Alligator mississippiensis: one gene and its partners. The protein of the gene in region 2 purifies or fractionates together with the protein of the main gene of each other region. This does not show direct contact. Links are inferred from orthologs where the notes say so. Each region holds a gene or a part of one and is shown on either strand. Other genes may lie near its edges. The genes, in order: STAU2, EIF2AK2 and DHX30.

Region 1 (7,250 bases), on a different chromosome or scaffold from region 2:
CCAGTTAGAAACACGGTGTATTTATGAAAGAAAACATTTTGTAGAGAACTTGTGCGTTTTGGGACTTGAACTGAGTATTCTGAATAAACAATAGTCCTATACCTGGTTTGCGTGTGTTACCTGTTTAACTATTTCATTAGGAAAAGCCCTAGCACGTGCATGGTTACACTGTTATAACCAGGAACCTACAGAATTCAGGGCAGCTGACCCATCAATTTTGCCATCTGAGCACAGCACTAGTTGCCACTTTCATGGTGAGCATAGCAGCCCCCGCATCTCTGATTGACCAAGGGGCCCTGGAAGTCCTGACCCTCCCCAGAGATTGATAGGTGGTCACCTGTCAATCTCTAGGGAGGGGTGGGACTACTGGGGGCCCTTGGCAGGGGGGAGTGGAGGGGTGGCAGCTGCACAAAAATCTGTCCTCCCACCCCAGCCCCTCATGCTTCCTGGCCCCAGGGCGTCCCACCATTTTCTGTTTACAGCTCCCCCCCGCACATTTTATTTCCCCATTCACTGGCCATTTTTGTGGTCTCCGCGTTTTTCCATGGGAATTGGGCTTTTTTGTGGCAGACCTACCAATTTAACGGTCCTGCAAAAATCACAAAACCACGATTTCAGTAGGTCCCCAGTCATAAAGACATCATATGGATATCAGTATGTTACCCCTATAGCTTATACAAGCAACAGAGTCTTTGACCCTCTGGTAGCATAAAACTTAGAAAAATAATATCAGTTTACAACTTACAAAGCCCACTTCTCAATTACATATTTTAGAAAGATACAATTTTTGACTGAAGAGTAACGGACTCCAAATGCACACTAGGAATTAATATATTTCTTCTCTACAAAGACATTTATAGACATATATTTTAGGCACCTCAAGACAAACTCTCCAGAAGAACACAACAGGTGCAGCTTCCTCATGGCTAGAGCAGCAACCCTAGGCTCAGAAGATATGGCTCTGACACCAGTTTACTGTCTAACCTTGGGAAGGACACTTACGTGACTAATTTCCGTCTCATATTTACATCAATGTAAATCAGAAGCAACCCTGCTTCAGTGGAGTCACAGGGGTAAATCTGGGGAGAAAAATCAAGCCCCTGGTCTTTGCCCAAAAGAATGGGCTAAGTGAGCTATGGTACTGATTTAGTGTTCAAGTTTGGGCAAGTCATTTATCTTTCAAAAAATGCAGTTTTTCCCAGTGTCAAAATACTTTGTAAGCGACTTTCAGACTTTGGTATAAAATACCATTCAAGCGCACAGTGTTATTAAACATAACTGTTGGTGAACAGGGTAGTTCAAACTCACTGCTAGTCTAAATCTAGCCCAAATTAGTTGCCATCATTAGCTGCCTTAACAGCTTATGGGTAATAAACTGCTTGCAACAGTCTAGTTCCCAGTGGCCAGTAATGGGGATCTCAGAGAGGCAAAGCACTGAATGCACACGAGGACTGAAGTCTCTCATACCCTTCTGTGGTCCCTCTGGGGCCCAGCTGAGGTTCATTAACTGGACAGCCCTGGAAATCTTACACTGCTGCTGGCTCCTGAGATAAAGGGCTTCATTCAGCTGGCTGTCAATCTGGCACCATTCATAAGCAGTAGTGTCGCACAAAAACCTGTTCAGCAAAAAAGGCCTTGCCTACATTCATAAAATATATACTGGTGTAACTCTATTACTGCAGTTACACAGGTATAAATCCTCAACAAGAAGACACTGCGCCAGGACAAAGCAGGGGCTGCGCTGGTGCATCATGATTTGGTAATACACCACCCTAAGATGTAGCAGCGTACGCCCCAGCACCAACGGGATGTACTTGTGCCTACGTAGTTATACCTGCACAAATTTCCTCCGTGTAAGCAGGGCCTTGTCATGATAGGAGAGAAGGATCTCAAGTCATTACCTACAGTTACATACAACATACAGCGCACAGCCTTGTCCGCAACAGCGCACTGCACGTGCTCCTCTGCTGAATTTGAGCTCCCCAGACCCCACAAATCCTTCAAGTCTAATAACTAGTAGAAAGCCTAAGAAGTCAAAAGAAAGCTTTCCCAGAGTGACCCATGGCCGGTATGTCTTGGTGTGTACGGAAAGTCTGCCAGGAGCAAAGCGTCACCGATTTCACCATGTGCTCCCATTTTTGAGACCACAGTTACTTTGTGGAGGGCACTTCAGAAGCAGCCTGCGAAGAGGCTGCCTGGAGGAGAGTTCTGGGCGTCTCGCCTCCTAAACCCGCCAGGACTGGGCTGCCGAAGCAGCCAGCCAAAAAAGCCTGCTCAGAAGAGCTCTCAGGTGCTCCGGGTGTCTCTCCTAAGCCGCCCAGGCCTGGTCCTCCCAGGCGCAGGGCCCAGGCCAGCCCCCCCAGCCCCGCACTTCTCACGTTGTCCTCAACCAGGAACTTGCTTCCCGGGGCCCCGGCGCCAGGGCGACGCGGGAAGAGGAGAGCCGCAGCCCAGCGAGCCGAGCCGAGCCGAGCCGCCGGGGGCCGCCGCTCTCTACAGGACGAAGCATCCCCAGGCAGCGCGGGGCCGCCACGTCCGCCGGCACGAGGAGGCGCGGCGGGGCCTGCTGCGGCCCCGGCCGGCGGGGACGTGCCGGCGCCTCGGCCCGAGCCGCCGACCCGGCCCAGCGCGCAGCCCCTTGCGGCCAGGCCCGGCCAGGCCCAGCCCGGCCCGGCGCGAAGGGCCAAGCCGCGCGGGGATACCGGCCCGGGCTCGGCCCGGCGCCGCCCCCCACTTCCCAGCCGGCTCCACGTCCCCCGCAACTCCCGGGCGGGAGTGTTGGTGCTGCCGGCCGGGCCGGCGCCGGAGAGGGGGAGGGGGCGGCATCGCGGCAGCGGCGCCCCCTGCCCCGTCCCGGCGCCGCGGCTCCCGCCTCGCCTCGCCCCGCCCCGCCGCCGGGATGGGCTCGGCCGGGCCGGGACAGCCCCGTTACCTGGTTCCCGGGGACACTTTGGAGACGCCTCCAACATCGGCAAACACTAAAGAGAACTGACCCCGCCGCCGCCGCCGCCGGCCCCAACCACTGCGCCCCCCTCCGCCGCCGGCCCCGCCCCGCCCCGCGCCGCCGCCGCCGCCCGCCCCCCGCGGCCCGGCCCCGCCGCCGCCGCCCCCTGCCGCCCGCCCGCCCGCGCCGCCGCCACCCCCGCCCCGCGCGGCCCCGCTCCGCGCCCCACGCCCCCCCCCGCGCCGCCGCGCGAATGGCCCCGTCCGCCGCCCTTCCCTTCCCTTCCCTTCCCCTCCCCTCCCCTCCCCGCCGGTCGTGCGGCAGCCCCCTAGCGGCGGCTCCGACCCGCTCCCAGCTCCGCGCGGGCGACGGCGCTGGGGGCTCGGCCGGCCCGGGCGGGATGACTGGGACCGGCCGGGACGGGCCGAGGCGGAGCTGGGCGGTGAAGGCGCCGACAGCCGCGCTGCGTGGGGAGGGATAAAGAGAGACTCTCCTTCCTTCCCCCTCTTCACACTGCCGCCCCTCGCCTGCAGGTTGTCCCGAAAGCTCCAGGATAGTTCGTCTTCGCCCCGGCCCGCCGCCCCGTGTGAAACGCAGGCGCTTCCTCCTGCTCCGGGCAGACGAAGAGCACAGGGGTTGCCAGCAGCTGGGGCCCGTCCTACCCGAGCCCCGGGCAGCCTCCTCCTGGCTGCAGCCGAGCTGGCGGCATGTCCAACCAGGAGCCCCCAGGGAGGCTTTCCTGTCACCCCCCTGTTCGCGTCTCCGGTGTAGTTTCGCTGGGCAGGGCCCACCAGCTCCTTGGACTCATTTGAGGGCCAGCAGGCACTAGCACATGTACCCTGCTCAGTATGCATGTCCCCTGGCCCTTGGTGCACTCATTTTAAACCTACACTCTTTACTCCTTCCCCTGTTTTTCTTTTATTTGCCCCAAGAACCAGTTGTTGCACCTTCAGTAGCCTCCTCTGTAAAGGAAGGCTTACAGTTTTAGTTGGCAGGCCTAGGCCCACACTTCCCCAGTAGCAGAACAAACAGGCCTGTGTTGCACAGGGGCAGAGAGTGATGCTTAAAAGGAGAATGAACGGGGCTTGTCTCCCTGCTCCTCTCCCCCTTGTGGCCTCCAGCCTTTAAGGTTTAGGAAGTTCTGTTTCGGAGGCTGTGTCCTAGGTCCCTGTGGCAGCAGGAGCAGACAGCAGAGGCTGAAAGGAAAGTAAATTGGGTAGGACCAGCCCCCCTCCAAACCCCACTGTTCCTCTCTCACTTGCAGCCTCCAGCATTTAAAGTCTAGGAAGTTAAAGATAAAAGCAAAGAGGAGCATGACACAGCCCAAGTAAAAAAGCATTGAAATGGTTTCAATGAGTAGAGCAATGGTTTCCAAACTCTGACAGATAGTGCACCACCACTTTTAAACGATACAAACTTAAGTACTGCCAGCAAATTTTTGTCATATAAAGTAATTATAATAAACCTGTTAAGGCTGTCTGTGTACCACTGGTGGTACCTATACCACAAACTGGGAACTGCTGGTAGAGGAAAATGTGGGTAAGTAAAGGAAAACAGAACCTCTATAAAAGCCACCATTTTGGCTTGAAATAAATCACCCATGAGACTTACAACTGGGTTACCATAAGTCTGGGTTTTCCTGGACATGTCCTCTTTTTGGACCCTCTAATCTCCATCAGGGCAGTTTGTTTGTTTTTAATATGAACTGATTTTGCTTTGCTTCACTGGGGGGGAGGACAATTGGAGGCAGCGGGCACGTGGCCGGCATGCAACCTGGCAGGGTCATGGAAGCAATCCCTGTGGGAGGCAGGGGTTAGTGGGCCAAGGCTTGGGGACTGTCTGCATGAATGAGGCATGCCCCTGGAGGCTGGGGGGGCATGGCGACCGCCCACAGGCAGCAGTGGTGATGTTGGCAGTGGGGGGGAGGGGGGGCATGGCAACTGCCCGCAGGCAGCAGCGGTGATGTTGGCGGTGGGGGGGGGGGAGGGGTGACAAGCACCGACCAGCAGTTGGCAACCACCTGCAGATGCTGCCAACAGCAGCTATCAGCAACAGACACCGACAGCAGTGTCAGCAGCAAGAGTAGGGGGTGGTAAATGGCAACTGCCTGCAGGCGCCACCAGCAGCAGTCAATCGCAGGGGATGCATCACCAATCTCAGGGGGTGCATGTGCACCCCCCATGCATCACCAATGACTGGGTATGCATGTGGGTAGCTGGCATGTGCAAGGGTGGCGGGTGTCTGCTGGCATTAGGAGAAGTCTGGGCACCAAGGCTGCTGTGGCAGGGGGAGGAGGGGAACAGTTTGTGCCTGGTCCTCCAGCAAGGGAAGGGGGCAGGGGGTGCCCTTTGAAGACAGAGGTAAGCTCTGTTGCCAGGCTGGCAGCACCAGGGATGGTGCCCATGCTCATGGGGCTGGGCTGGCCAGGAGACACTGCTGGGGTGTGGGGGCATGGCCAAGCCACCTGGTGCAGAGCTGGAGCCTTGGCCCAGGGCAGGGGGTGCTACAGGAATTCCCTCTTCCCTTCCGCCTGCACCAGAGCTGGACTTGCTGTACCGCTGCCTGCATGAATCAGAGCCATCGCACCCTGGCCCATTCAGGACAAGGGCAACTGGGGCCCCAGTCCAGCAGGGCTAGGGAGAGTAGGGAGCTGCGGATCAGGAGCAAGGGGTACTGGCAGGGATTGGGCGGCTGCAGGTGGGTACTGTGGGTCAGGAGTGAGGGCACCAGCAGGGATGAGGGGCACCAGCATAACCTGGGGGGGGGGTGAGGGACTGTGGGTTGGGAGTGAGGGGCAGCAGCAGGGATGGGGGGGCTGCAGGTTGGGAGCAACGGGCATTAGCAGGGCCAGAAGGCCGTGGGTGGGGAGTGAGGTGTTCCCCCAACAGGTGTCCTCTTTTTTGGAAGTGGAAATATGGTAACCCTACTCTACCTTAAATTTTATGATTCTCAGGAAACCCAACTTGGAAAGGAATGTTTCCTCCTCCCACCTCTTTACTAATTAATAATCAAATATCAGAACACTGAATACAAAAAAATATCCTTCACCTATTGCTACACACCAACAACATGCTCAGCTCTGCCCAAGATGGTCTTTTTACCGAAAAGCTTAACATCAGATCAGATGAGACAAAAACTAACTTAAAATACGCAGTAAGCATCTGAACAAAACCAAGTAACCTCTCCCCCAGCCCACCCAAAATCTGAAGGCTGTACCTTTTACAACTAGAAATGGCATGGAACCCATTATATTGAGCTAATGCACTTCTAATCTCACAGACTGTCCCAGAAAGGAAAACTCTCCTGATCGTGCCCTTGTACATTAGACATATACTGTTAATGTCAAAACCAGAGTCTCCTAAAAATATTTGCTTCAAGATCATGTTTTATTTTTTATTTTTTTTTTATATATGAGAGGTTTTTCCAAGGAGTGCTCTGAGAACTGTTTGACAGTCATGGGATAAAAAGCATACGAAAAAGGCATTATAATGTAAACCCAACCCCAACCCCCCCCCGCCATTTTTGTGTCATTTCATATGAAATCTTTTTAGTGTAGAGTATTACACTCTTTTTGTCATATTATAACCTAGGGCTTCAACATAGATAATACAGATGACCCCTTTAACAGCCTCCCAGCTAAAGTACCTATCCATCTGGCAGAATAATTGGTGTCTTAAATGTTTTAAACACCAAATTGCCTTAAAGTTTTAGGAAAGTCTACAGACACTTGGTAACATTCCTGCCTATGCTGCAAGGTAGAATGGAGCTTTAATCATATAAAGTATTAATACTTTAACAGGATGCTCTCACCTGTAAATTTTAGAAAGTATGCAAGTTGCCCACTTATTTCTGAGATCTGAAATTATAAATTAACTTGTTTCACCTTTTCTACTCAGTTCTACTTGTTTGGTCTGAGAATCAACCAGAGCTCTTGTGCCTAGAGTCATAACACTTGTATTTGAATACTTTTTTAATTTCATAGGTATAATTTAATAAAACATCTGTCCTGTTTTGTAAATTGCCTTATCAAACTTCCTAAGTGATGAGCCTAAGTTTCTTCCTTTTTTCTGTTGTTTCTGTGCCTTTTACAAATGTTTTTAAAAGCACAGTATAAGGACCTTGCATTCAGTACATTCTACAAAGACTTTGGAAAGCCAAATCTACTGATCCAAGGTAAAATACCATTTACCAGATTAGACAGCTGCTCCCTCTCAAGCTGCCTAGACCAGTGGTGCCTCACCTTTTGGCTCTGTGGGCCTGATCTGGTATGGGACTCCATATATCTGCATAGGAATGGCCCAGTCAG
Region 2 (7,566 bases):
TGCTTATGCAGGGGGTTGGACTCGATGATCTATTGAGGTCCCTTCCGACCCTAACATCTATGAATCTATAAGTCTGAGGACTGCCTGTAATTACTTCCCTCAATCTACTGGCAATGCTCCTACTAATGCAGCCCAGTATGCTGTTAGTTATCTTAGCAACAAGGGCACACTGACTCTCATTCGGCTTATTGTCCACTATAACCCCCAGGTCCTTTTCTGCAGAGCTGCTGCTTAGCCAATCAGCTTCCAGCCTGTATCAGTGCATGGGACTGTTCTATCCTAAGTGCAGGACTTTGCACTTGCCTTATTGAACCTCCTGAGATTTCTTTTGGTCCAATAATCCAATTTGTCTAGGTCTCCCTGAATCCTACCTTCCAGCATACTACTACTCCCCCAACTTGGTGTCATCTGCAAACTTGCTGAAAGTGTACTCCCTACCACCTTCCAGACTACTAATGAAGATCCATTGGCCTCCATTATGAACTTACTTGGGATCATGAGGTGGGCCTTCCTCACTGACAACCTCATACGACACCTTTAATCCACATGCTTGACAATATTCATTAAGCTTTTTCTTAGATGCCATTTTGAACCAACCTGCAAGGGGGGAAAAATTGACAGTGAATGTATATTTTTAGCATTTGTCTCTGCCCCAAGAATATAAGAAAGCAAACACAGAGATGGCAGCCCTATACTTCATGGGTACAGACACAGATCCAGGAAGTGTTTCTGAGCGTAGAGAATTATAGGCTGTTTTGCTACAAAATATTTGTTGCATGCTAAAAGAGGTGTGTTGAGGAGCTCAGAAACAGCCAAGCATGCCAGAGAGAAGAGGTAGAGAGGAAGTGAGGTTCAAGAAATATGGTCACACTAAATCAGTGGTTCCCAACACAGTGCACGCTGGCGCCATCGCCCAAGTTTTCCTGATCAGTAAAAATAATTATTCCATTAAAAAAATGCTGTCATATTGTAGCAGAAAGCCCCCTTTTCCTCTTGCCTGTATTTGCTCTCCCCTCTTTGGATATGTTTCTCTTTTTCTACCTTTTCTTCTTTCCTCTCTCTCTCTCACTTTAAGATAAGGAATTGTGTTTTAAAAGTTGTGTGTGTGCATTTTGTATCTCCTCTTGTATTTTGGTATTTTTATCTATTTGTGTGCCATGGCATTTGTAGCTTATATTTGATACTCCTCACCTTTCAACTAAATGTGTTTTAGTAAGTTATACATTGTAACAAGGGTAGGAATCAAACTGTCCTTCCCTGTATGAAACTGGCACCTGAAAGAGGGAGTGAATCAGTGATTGAATGTGTAACACTGTAGCAACAGGCAGCAATTAACACCTGGAAGCTGCAGATCAACCAAGGGAAGAACTCAATAGAAGACAACGGAACAACCGCGAAATCTGTAAACCTCACTGATCAAGGGCTAGAAGCCCTGGCCTGAGTTAATCAACGCTGGGGACCAACTTTTGGGCTGAGTATCTCCAGATCAACCGCTCCCAGAGCCCTATTCTAAATTCATCAACGGACTCCCAAACCTGCACGTACATGCGGACGACCCCTGGGACTGACAGATGCCATCCAGTAGCCACTGGGGGGGGGGGAAGTTCCACGAGGGTCAATAACCCCTGGATTGGGCAAACCTGAAAACTGGGGAGTCACCAAAGTCTGCCAGGGACAAATAAAAGGCAGTGAAAAGTGACTGTCATTGGCGCCCTCTTGATCTCCAACTTGACCAGACCTGTCCAGCCAGAAGGACCAGCCGGTGACCCCCTTCTGGAAGATAATACCACACTGAAAGAAGCCATAACGACAGACTCCAGTGCTTGTAGGATAGGTATACCTGACTCTGTAGAGTGAGTGTGAGTGTGAGTGTGTGTGTGTGCCAGACGCAAGGTTTATGATTACGGTGTTTCAATCCGCCTAATAAACTAGAATTTTAAGGATCCCAAGTTGGACATTTGTAGCCACCATTATTGATGCCTGCTGCTTTTTCTTTTAAATTCAAATGTGCCCTTGGGCACACAAACATTACGAATCCCTTCCCTAAGTAACGATGGATCCACATTTTTTTCTTTTACCCATCCCCTCCTTCTAGCAGCGGTGTGTGGGGTGGGAGCAGGGCCGGACACAGGCATGGGCAAACTGGGAGACCACTCAGGGCCCAGACAGAAAGGGGGTGCAAAAATAGTAATTTTTTTATTATAACTATCATGATCTCTGGTGAAGGGGGACTAAAAGTTTGCCTGGGGCTGTCAGCAGTCTAGGTAGGGTGGGAGGGAGGAAAAAATTTGTATTAAAAGCTTTTTGGAAGCTTGGACTCCAGCTGCCTTGTGGGGTCGCGGGGCCAAATCTGGGCCAGTTTGGGGGAGATGAGGACCTTACAGCATAACCCTCAAATGTCCCCTTCCCCAAAGAAGGCAGGGCATGTTGTGGGCAGAGCAGCCAACCCCGCCCCGCCCCCTTTACCTGTGGCAGGTGTGGGCGCTAGGTCTGCGCTGGTCAGTGGGATGTAGAGATCGGAGGATAGCTCTGCCCAGAGGCTTGGACGATCCGGCCTCAGGCAGGGGCTGCACCACACGCCAGCCCTGGAGGGCGCTTCCAGCTGCTGTCCCACTGCCTGCCTCCCACTGGATCCTGCCGGAAAGCTCCTCACGCAGCTGCCTCCTGGACTAGAAAAGGGCCAAACCTTGAGCAGGGTGCTCCCGGCGCCCCACTCCTGCCCCGCTCCCCACAGGATCCCCAACCCGGGGAGGGCGGGGAAGTGGTGTCCTTCCCACTGCTTCCGGGGGACCCGCTCCTTGCACCACGAGGCCCGGACGGTGCAACCACTCACCGCCGCGCCACTCGCTGCAGCCGCCCGGTTTCGTTTCCTGCCGCCGCGCCCGCCCTTCCCGCCGCGCCGGGAATCGAAAGCGAAGGCGCGGAGCAAGCGGCGCAGCCCACGCCCGCTGCGCCTGGCTCGGACGAGCTAGGGCTGTCGGAGGGCGCGGTCTTCCCCCGGCCGGCCCCGCGCGGGAGGCGCGCCGGGCAAGCCGAGCCTGGGCGAAGGCACACGAAGCCCGGGGGCATTGCTGGCCCGTTAGGGCCGGATGAACGCAGGTGCCTAGGGCCCTAAGTGAAGAAGTGCTTATTTTTACGTATTGGAATGGAGTGGGGGGGAAAGTCATATAAAAGTTTCTCTCTTCACCTGGGGGCCCACGAAAGGGTGAATCCGGCCCTGGGCCCTGTTCCTCCAGCCAGAGGGTGTCAAGCGGAACCAAGTTATGAAGGAGCCGCATGTTCAGAGGATGACACAGCACTTCCAGAGCACAGGGGGCCTTTAAAGCATCGCACCCAAATGCACTGATGTATTCATTAGCCTCAGACACGCATCTCCTCCACGACAGCGGTTCTCAACTGTTTTTGTATTGTACCAGGACTAGGGTGGCTGTCATAGAGGACATGCCTGTGTCCTGCTACTCTGTCCCCTATTGATACAAAACCCCACACCTTTATGTTCTCCATTTTTCCTCTTCAACAAAAAAAAAAAAAAAAAAAAAAAAAAAAAAAAAAAAATAGGGGACATAAAGGCATCTGGTTTTGTAGCAATAGAGGACAGAGGACAACCAGACTGCCCTCTATGATGGCCACCCTAACCAAGACCCATTTGTAAACAGCAATGGCTAGTCCCAATTCAGTGCCCCTCACTCGCAACCAGCTGCCCCCCAGCCCTCCAGTGTGTGGGGCAGGAGGGGCTGGAGCTCTGCCAGCCTGCAAGGGAAAAGCCACAGTTTCCCACATTTTTCTCCTTGAAAGGAGAATCCATTTTTAAACTTTGTTTGTGACCCTTTCATATATTCTTGCGACCCACTTTTGGGTCATGTTACCAGATTTGCCCATTACTTTGGGGTGTGCTCATTTATTAGGGATAGTTTCTAGGGTCTTGGTAATTCTGTCAATGTGCTGCTTGTGTTACTATATGGAGCTGCATCTCTCCCTTCTTCAAGCCCTCACCCCCAATGAAGCTATCTTGCAGGACTCAATTTCAATGAGACTGGGTTCCTCCAGTCACCAAATCAGTCATACACACAAACACACACAAATTAACGTGACACGCCTGACCTGGCCGGGCTGATCAGCATGGACAGGCTGACACCCTCATATGCCAAGAATCAGTTCATCAGAGCAACAATAAACTGCAGTCAGACACAAGCACACAGGTAAACAGAATCCCTCTGAATCCGGCTGGGTGTCCAGCTGACACCCTCATGGGCCAGCATTCAGTTCATAAGGGCACGTCTGAGTCAAACTGGGTCAATCAGCCTGTACAAGCTGATCCCCTTATGTGTTTCAAACTCAGCACGTCCCAATCTTTGGCCTCTTGATGAGCAGACCCCACAGTATTTTTGGGCTTCACAGGGATCTTTAGCTTAGGTAAAAGAAGCGTTGCTGCAGAGCACGGGAGGAAAGAGAAGCAGAGAAGGAAAAATATACCCAGTTACTACCAGTTTGACTATAAAAGTTATTTATTGCTAAGCATATGAAATATATAATAGTACTAGTAGTAATAGACATGCAAAAGAAAAAAAAAAACAAACACAGTTACAATACTACCCTGGTTTCACTAAGTATTTGGGGAAACTTAGCTCAAGCTTAACTAATACAGTTCAGGTTCAGAAATCTATGCCTAGAGAGAAAAGAGAGAGAGAGAGTGCTGGGATCTCACCAGTCCAAGGTACTCAGGCTGCAAAGCTGACAGGCACAGTCCTTGAAGGGAGATGATCTGTTCTTCCAGCGTCCCAAGAAGAACAGGGAATGGTGTCAGCACAGGAGTTTTCTTCTTTCTTTCTTGAGCACTCACACTTTTTACAGATTTTTATACCCTCAGTTCAGCTGCTTCAAAGCATCCTCAATTGTGTAAATCATTGTCTTTTCTATTGACAAGGGGTTATCTGGTTTGGAACACCTCAAGAAACTGACTGATAATCAGGAAATACATAAGATTAGGGAGTAACCAAATACTTGGGAGCCAGCTTGAAATTCCTATGGATAGCAGATATACTGATGGGATATCTCATGGGTTCTTCAGAAACAATAGATAGCCTGCAGCATCAGGATTTTGGATTTTCACTTGTTGTGAACAAGCCTCAGCTTAGCATGACTTTTCCAGATCTTATTATAGTCTTTTAACAGACTTATGACAATTATTGGGGTGCTCATAACCTTTTGTGGAGAGGACTCCCACCAGTCATCTTGGGAAAAGTATGACAACACCTGTGATTAGGGCTCCAACAGGCTGGACACTGCAATGAACCCTTAACCATTGTTCAAATGTTGCCCCTGCCCCCTCTGACTCGGTCTCTTGCCTCAGCATTCCCTAACCCGGCAACCGAGCTTTAGTCAATCAAGTTTAAATAGGCCTCCCATAGTGGGACCGGGAAATGTACGGCCCAAGATGCCTATTAAACTTAGAGGTGGGGGTGTGTGTGTGGGGGGGGGGGGGGGGAAGGGAGTCCTTTGTAGATCCAGATTAGAACTGGTCTGATAAATGCTGAGCTGGGTGTGTGTGAATATGGGTTGATTAGCATTTGGAGCACAGATTCCCCATCATGCAGTGCTCCCCTGCTTCTCTGGTCCCAGCATTCATTGCAGTCTCTGCTTCAGGCTTTCTGTTCTCCATCTCTCATGTAAATGAATGGTCATCAGGTTCTATCTCAGATGCAAATGAGACCTAGGGCAGTTGTTCCACCCTTGTCAGCCTTATCTGGAGGGTCTTAGGTGTGTCTCTCACTGCCTCTTAATCAGTTTTGTTTATGTAGAGAAGGGGGGGGGGGTGAATCAGACAGACTGCATCCTGTGCCAGGGTTCCCAAGAACACACAGCTGAGATGTAACAGTCATGACCCGCAGGTTGAGAAACACTGCTCTAAGAGTGCTAGAACGCCCATTCCTACAGCAGATGGATGGGCGAGTAGGGATTTGTGGGTAGACCAGCAGCCTTCATTAAATCACACCAATCAATAGTGAGTTCACAAGTTTCAGTATTTGCAAGTCTTTAAATCTACCATGAAAGTCATCTGATAATTCAGGGACAGTCACACTGTGGCACATGTCACAAGTGCCATGGGCTACCTCTGCATGTGGCACTTGCCAGACTGGGGAAGAGCGCACACAGCACAGACACAGATGAGGCAGGGAGCAGAAAGCAGAGCAATGGATTGGGCAGGGGATGGAAATCTGAATGGCAGTCAGGCCAGATCCAGATATGCAGGCACATGTGGTTTGCAGCACTGAAAACCTCTTTGCAGTGCCACAAACTATACCTGGCATGTTAAAGCATGTGCAGCACTGCAAATTTGCAGTGTGGGGGCAAAATTTGTTACTGGAAATTCCAGTAGCAAAAAAACCACTATGAAAAAAGAAGTGGTGCGGTGTATGCCACAGGAGTGTGCACTGGCAGACAGAGGCTTAGTCCTTCCAGAAGATGCTTTGGCTGCTGGCCAGAGATTTTTTTGGCCAATACTGATGGCTGATTATTTATCAGCCATATCAGCCAGTATTAATCCAATTGCAGATATGCAGCCAGGCAGCTTGGAGGGCAGTGTCCGGTAAGTCTGTGCGGTGGAAAAGGGCATGGGGAGAGGCAGACTGAGGCCCTGCAGTGAAGGAGGGAGTGGGACTGGGGCTGCAGGTGGCTTGTCGGGGGATGGGGGTGGCAGCTCCTGCCTCTGCACACACCTCCAAGGTAGACTTGGGGGGCATGTGCCCCCAGATCTGTGCGCAGGACAAGAGCAAGTTGCCCACTATGGGCTCAAGGCTGGGGGGATGAGCCAGAGCTACACTCAGAGAAGGGAGGGTCAGGGGTGGGGTAGGCAGTGGCAGTGCTGGGAGTGGGGCTACAAGGTGGGTTACAGCCACCCCAAAGTTCACTATAGCCACCCCATGGCCCCCCCTCCCAGCATCACCACCACCTCTCCAAATACCGCCTGCCCCAAGTGCAGCCCCAGCCCAGCCCTCCCACTTGGAAGAGGCTGGCACAGCCCTCAGCCCACCCTCACCTCACACACAAAATACCCTTTATGCCTTTCCTGGGGAGCACGCAGAGGCAAGGAGCTGCCCCCTCCCACCCCCTGCATCCCCCAGATCAGCCTCCCATGGCTCCATCCCATGCCCCACCCCACCCAGGCTGAGCAGCATCTACCCCTGCCCCAGCCCCACTCCATCCCTCACTGTGGGGGCCTCAATCTGCACCCCTCTATGCCTCTTCCCCCACACCTTCCCCCCTACAGACTTACTGGTTGGATGCCACTCTCCAAGCTGCCAACCTGCGTTCCTGGCCACGTGACCCAAAGTCAAATGGGGGTCCAAAGTTCAGGGACTGGGTACACAGGCTGAAACACTGGAACAGGCTCCAGGGAAGTCACACAGACAAGAGCTACATGCAGACTGAGGCTATTTTGTTGCACAGCGGGGGCTAGGTGCTGCCAAAGCTCCTAAGAGCAGCATTGGAACCAAGCAGCAGGCTCAGGCTCAGCTGGTCCTACTTAAGGGGTTGAGTGTTAGTGACCAAGTTGCCTGACTGCCATGC
Region 3 (7,850 bases), on a different chromosome or scaffold from region 2:
CACATATAAAGCAGCCTGAATTCTTTTGCATTTGCTTTTTCCCAGCTAAGAAGTTATGAATTTTTTTTCAATATGCAGCTTTGCCTGCAGTTTCCTCAACAGGAGCTTAGGACATCTGGCTGGGAACAAGAAAAATGCCAGGACCACAAAGCTTAATTTGGGAAAGGATCTACTCAGCCTGATCACTTAAAGGTAGGACAATTTTAGGGTACATCTGATAGAGTAGCAAGGATTTTGTAACAAACTGGAAGCAGAGCTGGGCGGGCTTCCCATTCAGATGACAATGTCCATATTCATATTAAAATATTAATCATCCACTGTAATTGTTAATAGTAATTATTATTAATGTTAATATTATACTTTTGGAGTGACCACTGCAGTCAATGGGAAAATCCTATTTATTCCAGGGAGACAGAATCAGACCTAATGCAAAGCCTCTTTTCAGAGTAGAGCTACATGAAAACAGCACTCGGAGATGTTCCCAGCATATACACAAAGCCAGACCTTATTTTAGTGATAAAGAGTTTAAACTGCATGGAAAAGCTGAACTAGGCAAAAAGCGATGTGGCTTCTTCTCCATATAAGCAGGATCATAGGAAAGTAAAGTTGGACGGGATCTTGCAAAATCATCTAGTCTAGCCTCCTGCTCAAGGCAGGACCATCCCTAAATAAACCTTCCCAACCAAGTGTTTGTCCAACCTGCTCTTGAAAATATCCAAGGATGGAGATTCCACAAGTCCTCCAAGCAGCCCATTCAATGCTTGACCACCCTCAGTCAGGAATTTCCTCCTCATTTCCAACCTAAATTACCCTGGCTGTAGCCTGAGGCCACTGCTCCTAGTCCTATCCCTTACAGCCACAGAGAAAAGCGCATCTCCATCCTCTTTGCAATCGCCTTTCAGGTATTTGAAGACTGTGATCAAATCCCCCCTCAGTCTTCTCTTCTCCAGACTAAATAACTGTAGTTCTTTCAGCCTTTCCTCGCTTCCCAAGCCCCTAATCATTTCTGTCATGCTTCGCTGGACTTTCCAATCTGTGCACATTCTTTCTGAAGTGTGGAGCCCAGAACCGGACCCTGTACTCCGGGGGGAGGCCTCCCCAGTGCTGAACAGAGAAGCATCGCTTCCTGTGATTTGCAAGTGACACTCCTGTTAGTACAACCCCGGGTGCTGTCGGCTATTTTTACAACGAAATCACGCTGCTGGCTCATATTCAGCTTATGGTCCGCTGTCACCCCCAGGTCTTTCTTTGCAGTCCTGCAGCTTAGCCAGTCATTCCCCAGCCTGTATTTGTGCATGCAAGTATTTTATCCCAAGCGCAGGGCTTTGCACATTTCCGTGCTGGATCTCAGCTGGCCATTTTTCCAGTCTGTCCAAGTCATTCTGTATCCTACCCTACAAAGCGCCCGCAACTCCATCCTACTTGGTGACATCCTCAAATTTAAGTGTGCACTCAATCCCATCAACCAAAACATTCATAAAGATGCTGAACGACAGCAAACCCAGGACAGAATCTAGGGGAGCCCCGCTTAATACCTCCTTGCAACTAAACATTGAGCCATTAATGCCTAATCTAATCTAAGCAAGTGGTTTTCAATCTTTTTTCATTTGCGGACCCCTAAAAAATGTCAAGTGGAGGTACAGAGCCCAGTGGAAATTTTGAATGGAAGCACAGACCCCTTTGAATTATAAGTGTGAGTATTCACATACTTTTGATTGATCACGGACCCCCTAGACATAGTCTGCGGACCCCCAAGGTCCACAGACCACAGGTGATCTAACCAGTTACGTATCCACCTCGTAGTACTTTCGTCTAGTCCTCTTTTCTTTAGCTGGCGAATGAGACTGTCATGCGAGAGCGTTTCAAAAGCATTGCTAAAGCCAAGGTCTATACATCACATCCACTGCTTGCCCCCCATTCACATAGCCTGTCACCTTATGGTAGAAGGAAATCAGGTTGGTCAGGCATGACTTGCTCGTGGGGAATCCATGCGGGCTGTTCCTGATCCCTCGGCTGTCCTCTCGGCGCTTCGCAAGAGACTCCTGGAGGACCTGCTCCATGATCTTCCCAGGTATCAAGGGCAGGCTGACTCCCCAGGTCCTCCTCCTTTCCTTCCTTAAAGCTGGGCACTATATATTTGCCCTTTTCCTCACCTAACCTCCAAGCGCTTTTAAAGAGGACAGCTGGCTCCAGGAGGTCTGGTTCTTCAGGCTCTTCTTTCCTGCATGGATCCAAGCTGTCAGTAACACATACGTGCACCCTGGACATGAGCTTACAACTTATAACACTCATTACAGTTGTATTCCCTCTCCAAAGAGCGTACGAGGGACCCGATCCCAAACGCCGCTCGCTTACTCAAATATTCACGGCAAAACTCTCAGTGGAGAGGAAAGGCAACCGAGAAAGACCTCCTGCCTCAGTCTACGCGGACGACCAAGCGGTCCCACTGCGGTCGCAAGTAATCACGTGTCTTTTGAGCGAGCGAAACTTCCCCGGAGGCGATTCACGAGCTAAACGCTGACAAACCGGGCGGCCGACCTAGACGGTCGCACGCGGGGACGCACGCCCCAGAAATTCATCCATTTCACAGATTTTCGGGGTCGCACGAGGCCTCCGCAGATCGTCGGGCGGCACCTTCTGGCGTAGCGAGCGGCTCGAGCGGACTCCTGCCCCGCGTCCCAACCGGTGTCCGGCGCCAAGAGGCAACGCGGTCAGCGAATGACCGCTAGCGGCCCCCTAAGACTCGGCAGGATAATGAGCCTGGCGGAGCCGTCCTCTTCCTCCGGACCGAGACGAGACGAAGGGCTCCCGTGTTTCGCGCCCCCACGCGCGAGGAGGGGCGGGCCCGCGACTAACGGGCACGAGGGGCCGCCGCGAGGCGTGATGGCGGAGGATGCCGGAGCTCGTTCCGGACCCCGGCGATGGCAGCTTTGTTTTTGGCCCCGGCGGACGCGGCGCCGAGCTGCAGGCGGTCTGGCCCGGGCTGGAGAGTCTCCACAAAGCCGGGCGCGGAGGATGCGACCCCGCGGCCCGCCCGCGGACCCCGCCCCTCCCCGCGCCCGCGAGCTTGGGGGCTCGGGCCCGGCCCCCCGCCCTCCACCCCGCCCCGCCGGGCCCCCGCACCGACCTCCTCGCAACTCCGCGGCGCCGGCCCTCGCCCGCCGGGACTACCGCTCCCGGGCGCCCGCGCGCTGCGCTTCCGGGGCATGGCCCGGAACTGAACGCGCCGACTTCCGCCCCGCAGCCCGGCTACCGGATGTGGGGGGGAGACGGCGTGTCGCCATGGCAACCGGCGGGGCCAATGGGAGCGCGGGGGCGGGGCCAATGGGGGCTGGCGCGCCTAGGGGACAGGGATCGGGCAGTGCTGCTACATAGGATCAGGATGCTGTATGGGATTGGGCAGTGTTGCTATGTGGGGCTAGGCTGCTATATGGGACCTGGCAGTGCTGCTATATGGGACCAGGATGCTATACGGGACGGGGCAGTGCTGCTATGTAGGGCTAGGCTGCTATATGGGACCTGGCAGTGCTGCTATATGGGACCAGGATGCTATACGGGACAGGGCAGCGCTGCTATGTAGGGCTAGGCTGCTATATGGGACTGGGCTGTTATATGGGACTGGGCAGTGTTGCTATATGGGACCTGGCAGTGCTGCTATATGGGACCAGGATGCTATACGGGACGGGGCAGTGCTGCTATGTAGGGCTAGGCTGCTATATGGGACCGTGCTGTTATATGGGACCGGGCAGTGTTGCTATATGGGACTGGGCAGTGCTGCTATACGGGACTGGGCTGCTATATGGGACTGGGCAGTACTGCTATGTGGGGCTAGGCTGCTATATGGAACCGGACTACTATATGGGACCGGGCAGTGCTGCTATATGGGGCCAGGTTGCTATATGGGACCAGGCTGCTGTATGGGGCTGGGCTGGGCAGTACCGTATGGGACCAGGCTGCTATACAGGACAGGGCAGGGCTGCTCTAGGGACTAGGATGCTGTATGGGACCAGGCGGTGTTGCTATATGGGACCAGGCTGCCCTGTGGGACTCGTCGGGGGGCTGTATGGGGTCAGGTTGCTAGACAGGACAGGGCAGTGCTGCTGTATGGGACCAGGCAGCGTAGGACTGAGCTGCCCTGTGGGAGGTCAGGGGGGCTGTACAGGCCCAGGCTGCTATACGGGACAGGCCAGTGTTGCTGTATAGGACCAGGCTGCTATACAGGACCAGACGTGTGGCTGTATAGGATTGGACTGCTACAGACCTTTGCGACGCCCTCCCTGCTCACATAGCAGTACTGCCCAGTCCCATATAGCAGCCTAGTCCCATATAGCAATTCAAGGCACTGGGTGTGACCTACAAAGCCCTACACAGCCAGGCCCCGAGGGGAACCCGTCCCTCTGCCCCGCAAGGGCAGCCTCCTGCAAGGACCAGCCGTGTGCTGAGTCCGCTGGGCTGGAACGGGGGGAGATGGCTGCCAGCCACCACGGCGCAGCCCTGGAGCTCCCTCCCTCTTGAGGCTGCCTGAGCCTGGGTGTTTCTGGCTGCTAAATGCCCAGGGGTGGATGCCGGGGGATGCAGTGGTGCATTTGCACCCCGCTTTGAGTCCGGCTCCAGCCATAGTTTAAAACCAGCTGCCGGGCAGTGACGGCAGCGTTGCTGGTCAGGCAGCGCTGAGGGAGTCCGTTGTCACCTATCAGATCCCTTCTACACCCCTCATCCCACAGGTGTGGACGACCCTCTTCCTTTCAACGGTCTTGATGTTCCAGCGATCAAGCATCCTTTGGTCTGCAGTTCTGCTGTCCATTGCCTGCGCCTGGTGCTGGAGCTCCTATTTCACAGCCCTGCAGATACTGCTTTAATTCCAGTGAAGTTGTATTTGTTTTTGCCTCAATTTTAAACAGACTCATCCAGCCCCAATCCCCAGGCCTATTAGTAAAGCTTCTAGTTTCTTTTCACCTGGAGAAAAATAGGTGTTCTTTATATGTGATGATGCGCCTCACCATCTGCACCTTGCTTTTCAACATCCTAGATCCGTAAGTCTGCAAGTTCCTAGATCCATAATCAGCAATTTATGGATTAAACTAAACAGGATTTGCTCTGGAGCTGGATGCTTTAATGCCACGCTCTGTAAGACTGGCTTGGAGAACCGTCCGGTATGTGAGTGTGGTGTTGCACCACAGACTGCTGACCACCTCCTCACGTCTGCAACACACCCACGTACCCAGGATAAAGGCCTGGCAAGCATCCACAATAAAGCTGTTGTGTGGCTCTGCCATATTAATGATGTGTGGAGGGGGAAATTAAGTATATGAGAGGGAAAAGAACATCCTAGATGTACTCATGTAAATGCCTGCCTCACCGGAGCTGGGCTGAGGGGCTATGTCGTGGGTCTCTGCTTTATTCTGGTTTTCTCTGAGTCGGTTTCTCGTGCTGCAAGCTGCCCTGAGTCTCGGTTGGGAAGGGGGCACGTGTATCACGCAACTAGAGTCCCCTGGCTAGGTCCATGGTCCAAGCTGTCTAGATCCTGTCTCTAAAGGTCTGTGGGATGTTGCAGGTCCTGGCCCTGCAGTCCGTTCCAGCTGAAAGGTGTGGGTTTGGGGTGCGATAATGTGGGTCTGGGTCTTTCTTTGGCTGGAGCAGAGCCCAGTCCTGGAGAGCGAGGACATGAAGGCCATTTGTGCCACTGCAGTTCTCACGTGAAGCACCAGAGGTCAATAACTGTTGCATTTTCCCCTAATTAAATGGTTGTCTGCTGCAAGCCCTGCCTGCGTGCTTTAATTGTAGTTGATGCAGGGCTTGGAGACAAAGAAGGACGCGCAGGGAGCAACCGGCACAGCGAGAGAGAAGCAGAGGGGAAATTGGGACTGTCCCCGGGCACGTACAAGGTTAATCAGGAATTCATTCCAGCCTCTCCAGGTGACGGTCCTTGCGAGAGCCATGTTAGGGTGCTTTCACAGAAACACCTGTACTAGGAGATAGTGCCTGATTGTCCCTGTGCCCTCCTCTGTATAGCAAACGTCACGTGTACTCTTGTGCAACGAAGCTGGAACTGTACATGTCACAGATGTCTTAAATCTGAAGCCAAATTCCAACCTTAGCAAGCAGGGTATTGTTTAACCATACCCTTACGAGGAATTATACAAATCCTGCAGCTCATCTCAGACATGTTGTTGCTCTTGAACCTGGGCTACGTTATTCTCTATCAAATGGGTGTCCGGTACCTTTCAGGAACAGGTTCTTTGTGCCCACACCTGGGCTGGATTTGAATCTGCCATCTTGAGGTGCAAGACCCCAAACCATTGCCATTCCTCATCCCAGTGACACCTGTGGGACTGCTTCTCGGGGTAAAGGGAGCTGTGTGTGTCTGCAAGATCGAGCCCCTCATTTCTGGTAACTATCCATCCACAGGCGTCATTGCGCTCAAGGGAAATGTAACGTGTCAGCATTTGGGGGTATTCCTTTAACAGCCTCCTCATTTTTCATTGCCATGAGTGGCAATGAGTGCAAGGTGGCAAAAGCCTGCAGCAAGACAGCAGCCCTGGACTTCAGGAGGGCAGATTTCAATGAGGTAAGGAGACTAGTTGGAGAAGCACTGAGGTCCTGGAGGGGAGGGGAGTCGGGTGTCCAAGAAGAGTGGTCGTTCCTTAAGGAGACGATCCTCCAAGCCCAAAGGGAGGTAATCCCAACATGGGTCAAAGGGGCAAGAGGGTGCAAAAGTCCCCATGGCTCACCAAGAGCATACGGGAACGTCTCCTGGCTAAAAGGGAGGCGTACACCCAATGGCAGGGAGGGACCATCCCCAGGGAGGACTACACCTCGGGTGCTCGGGGCTGCAGGAGGGTGGTCAGGAAGGCCAAGGCGGAGATGGGACTGGGACTAGCTACCTGGATCAAGGACAACAAGAAGTCCTTCTTTAAATACATAGGGGGCAAAAAGAAGGTGCCAGGTAACGTGGGACCTCTGCAAGACACGCTAGGAAATCCGGTTGTCACACCAGACGACAAGGCTAACTTATTTAACAATTTCTTTGCCTCCGTTTTCCTGAGCAGGGACCGGATCAGCCCGTCCGCCGGGACCCCCTCAGGCCCCAGGGGAGGCGCAGCCAGGCCTAGGGTCAGCGAGGATCAAGTCAGGGAACTTCTGGAGGGACTGGACATATTTAAATCAGCTGGTCCTGATGATCTCCACCCCCGAGTGCTGAGGGAATTAGCAGAGGTCATTGCGGGACCCCTGCACAGCTTTATGAGCACTCGTGGTGCCCTGGCATTGTACCAGAGGACTGGAAAAGGGCCAACGTGGTCCCCATCTTCAAAAAAGGGAGGAAGGAGGACCCAGGGAACTATAGGTCAGTTAGTCTTACCTCGATCCTGGGTGAGCTTTTTGAGAGAGTTATTCTAGCGCATGTCCACGAGGGGCCGGCAGGGCAGATCATGCTTAGGGGCAGCCAACACAGGTTCATTCGAGGCAGGTGCTGTCAGACCAACCTGGTGCCTTCTACGACCAGGTCACAACATCCTTAGATGCAGGGGTAGCAGTGGACGTAGTCTTTCTGGACTTTAGGAAGGCCTTCGACACTGTCTCTCACTCCATTCTCGTTAAAAAACTAGGGGGCTGTGGCGTCGACACCTCCACAGTGAGATAGGTCGCTAACTGGCTGGAGGGCCGCACCCAGAGAGTGGTGGTGGACAGGTCATTTTTGACCTGGAGGGATGTGGGCAGTGGGGTCCCCCAGGGCTCGGTCCTCGGGCCTGCGCTGTTCAACATCTTCATCAGCGACTTGGACGAGGGGGTGAAAAGCAACCTGTTCAAATTGACTGATGACACTAAGATGTGGGGGGATGTGGGCATGC

The links.
Region 1: the proteins of EIF2AK2 (region 2) and STAU2 purify together in Homo sapiens (affinity purification with mass spectrometry; 3 studies listed by BioGRID and IntAct, with this or other methods). This does not show direct contact. The link is inferred for Alligator mississippiensis from reciprocal best matches to the Homo sapiens genes EIF2AK2 and STAU2.
Region 3: the proteins of EIF2AK2 (region 2) and DHX30 purify together in Homo sapiens (affinity purification with mass spectrometry; 3 studies listed by BioGRID and IntAct, with this or other methods). This does not show direct contact. The link is inferred for Alligator mississippiensis from reciprocal best matches to the Homo sapiens genes EIF2AK2 and DHX30.

The regions. Positions count from the first base shown.
Region 1 is NC_081826.1:59,010,432-59,017,681, reverse strand, and holds the start of STAU2 (double-stranded RNA-binding protein Staufen homolog 2), read right to left. Parts: upstream 3,024-7,250; 5' UTR 2,933-3,023; intron 1-2,932. UniProt on the Homo sapiens protein: RNA-binding protein required for the microtubule-dependent transport of neuronal RNA from the cell body to the dendrite.
Region 2 is NC_081824.1:166,423,395-166,430,960, forward strand, and holds the start of EIF2AK2 (interferon-induced, double-stranded RNA-activated protein kinase), read right to left. Parts: upstream 3,093-7,566; 5' UTR 3,070-3,092; coding exon 2,834-3,069; intron 2,670-2,833; coding exon 2,467-2,669; intron 598-2,466; coding exon 489-597; intron 1-488.
Region 3 is NC_081828.1:217,718,435-217,726,284, reverse strand, and holds the start of DHX30 (ATP-dependent RNA helicase DHX30), read right to left. Parts: upstream 3,046-7,850; 5' UTR 2,061-3,045; coding exon 1,935-2,060; intron 1-1,934.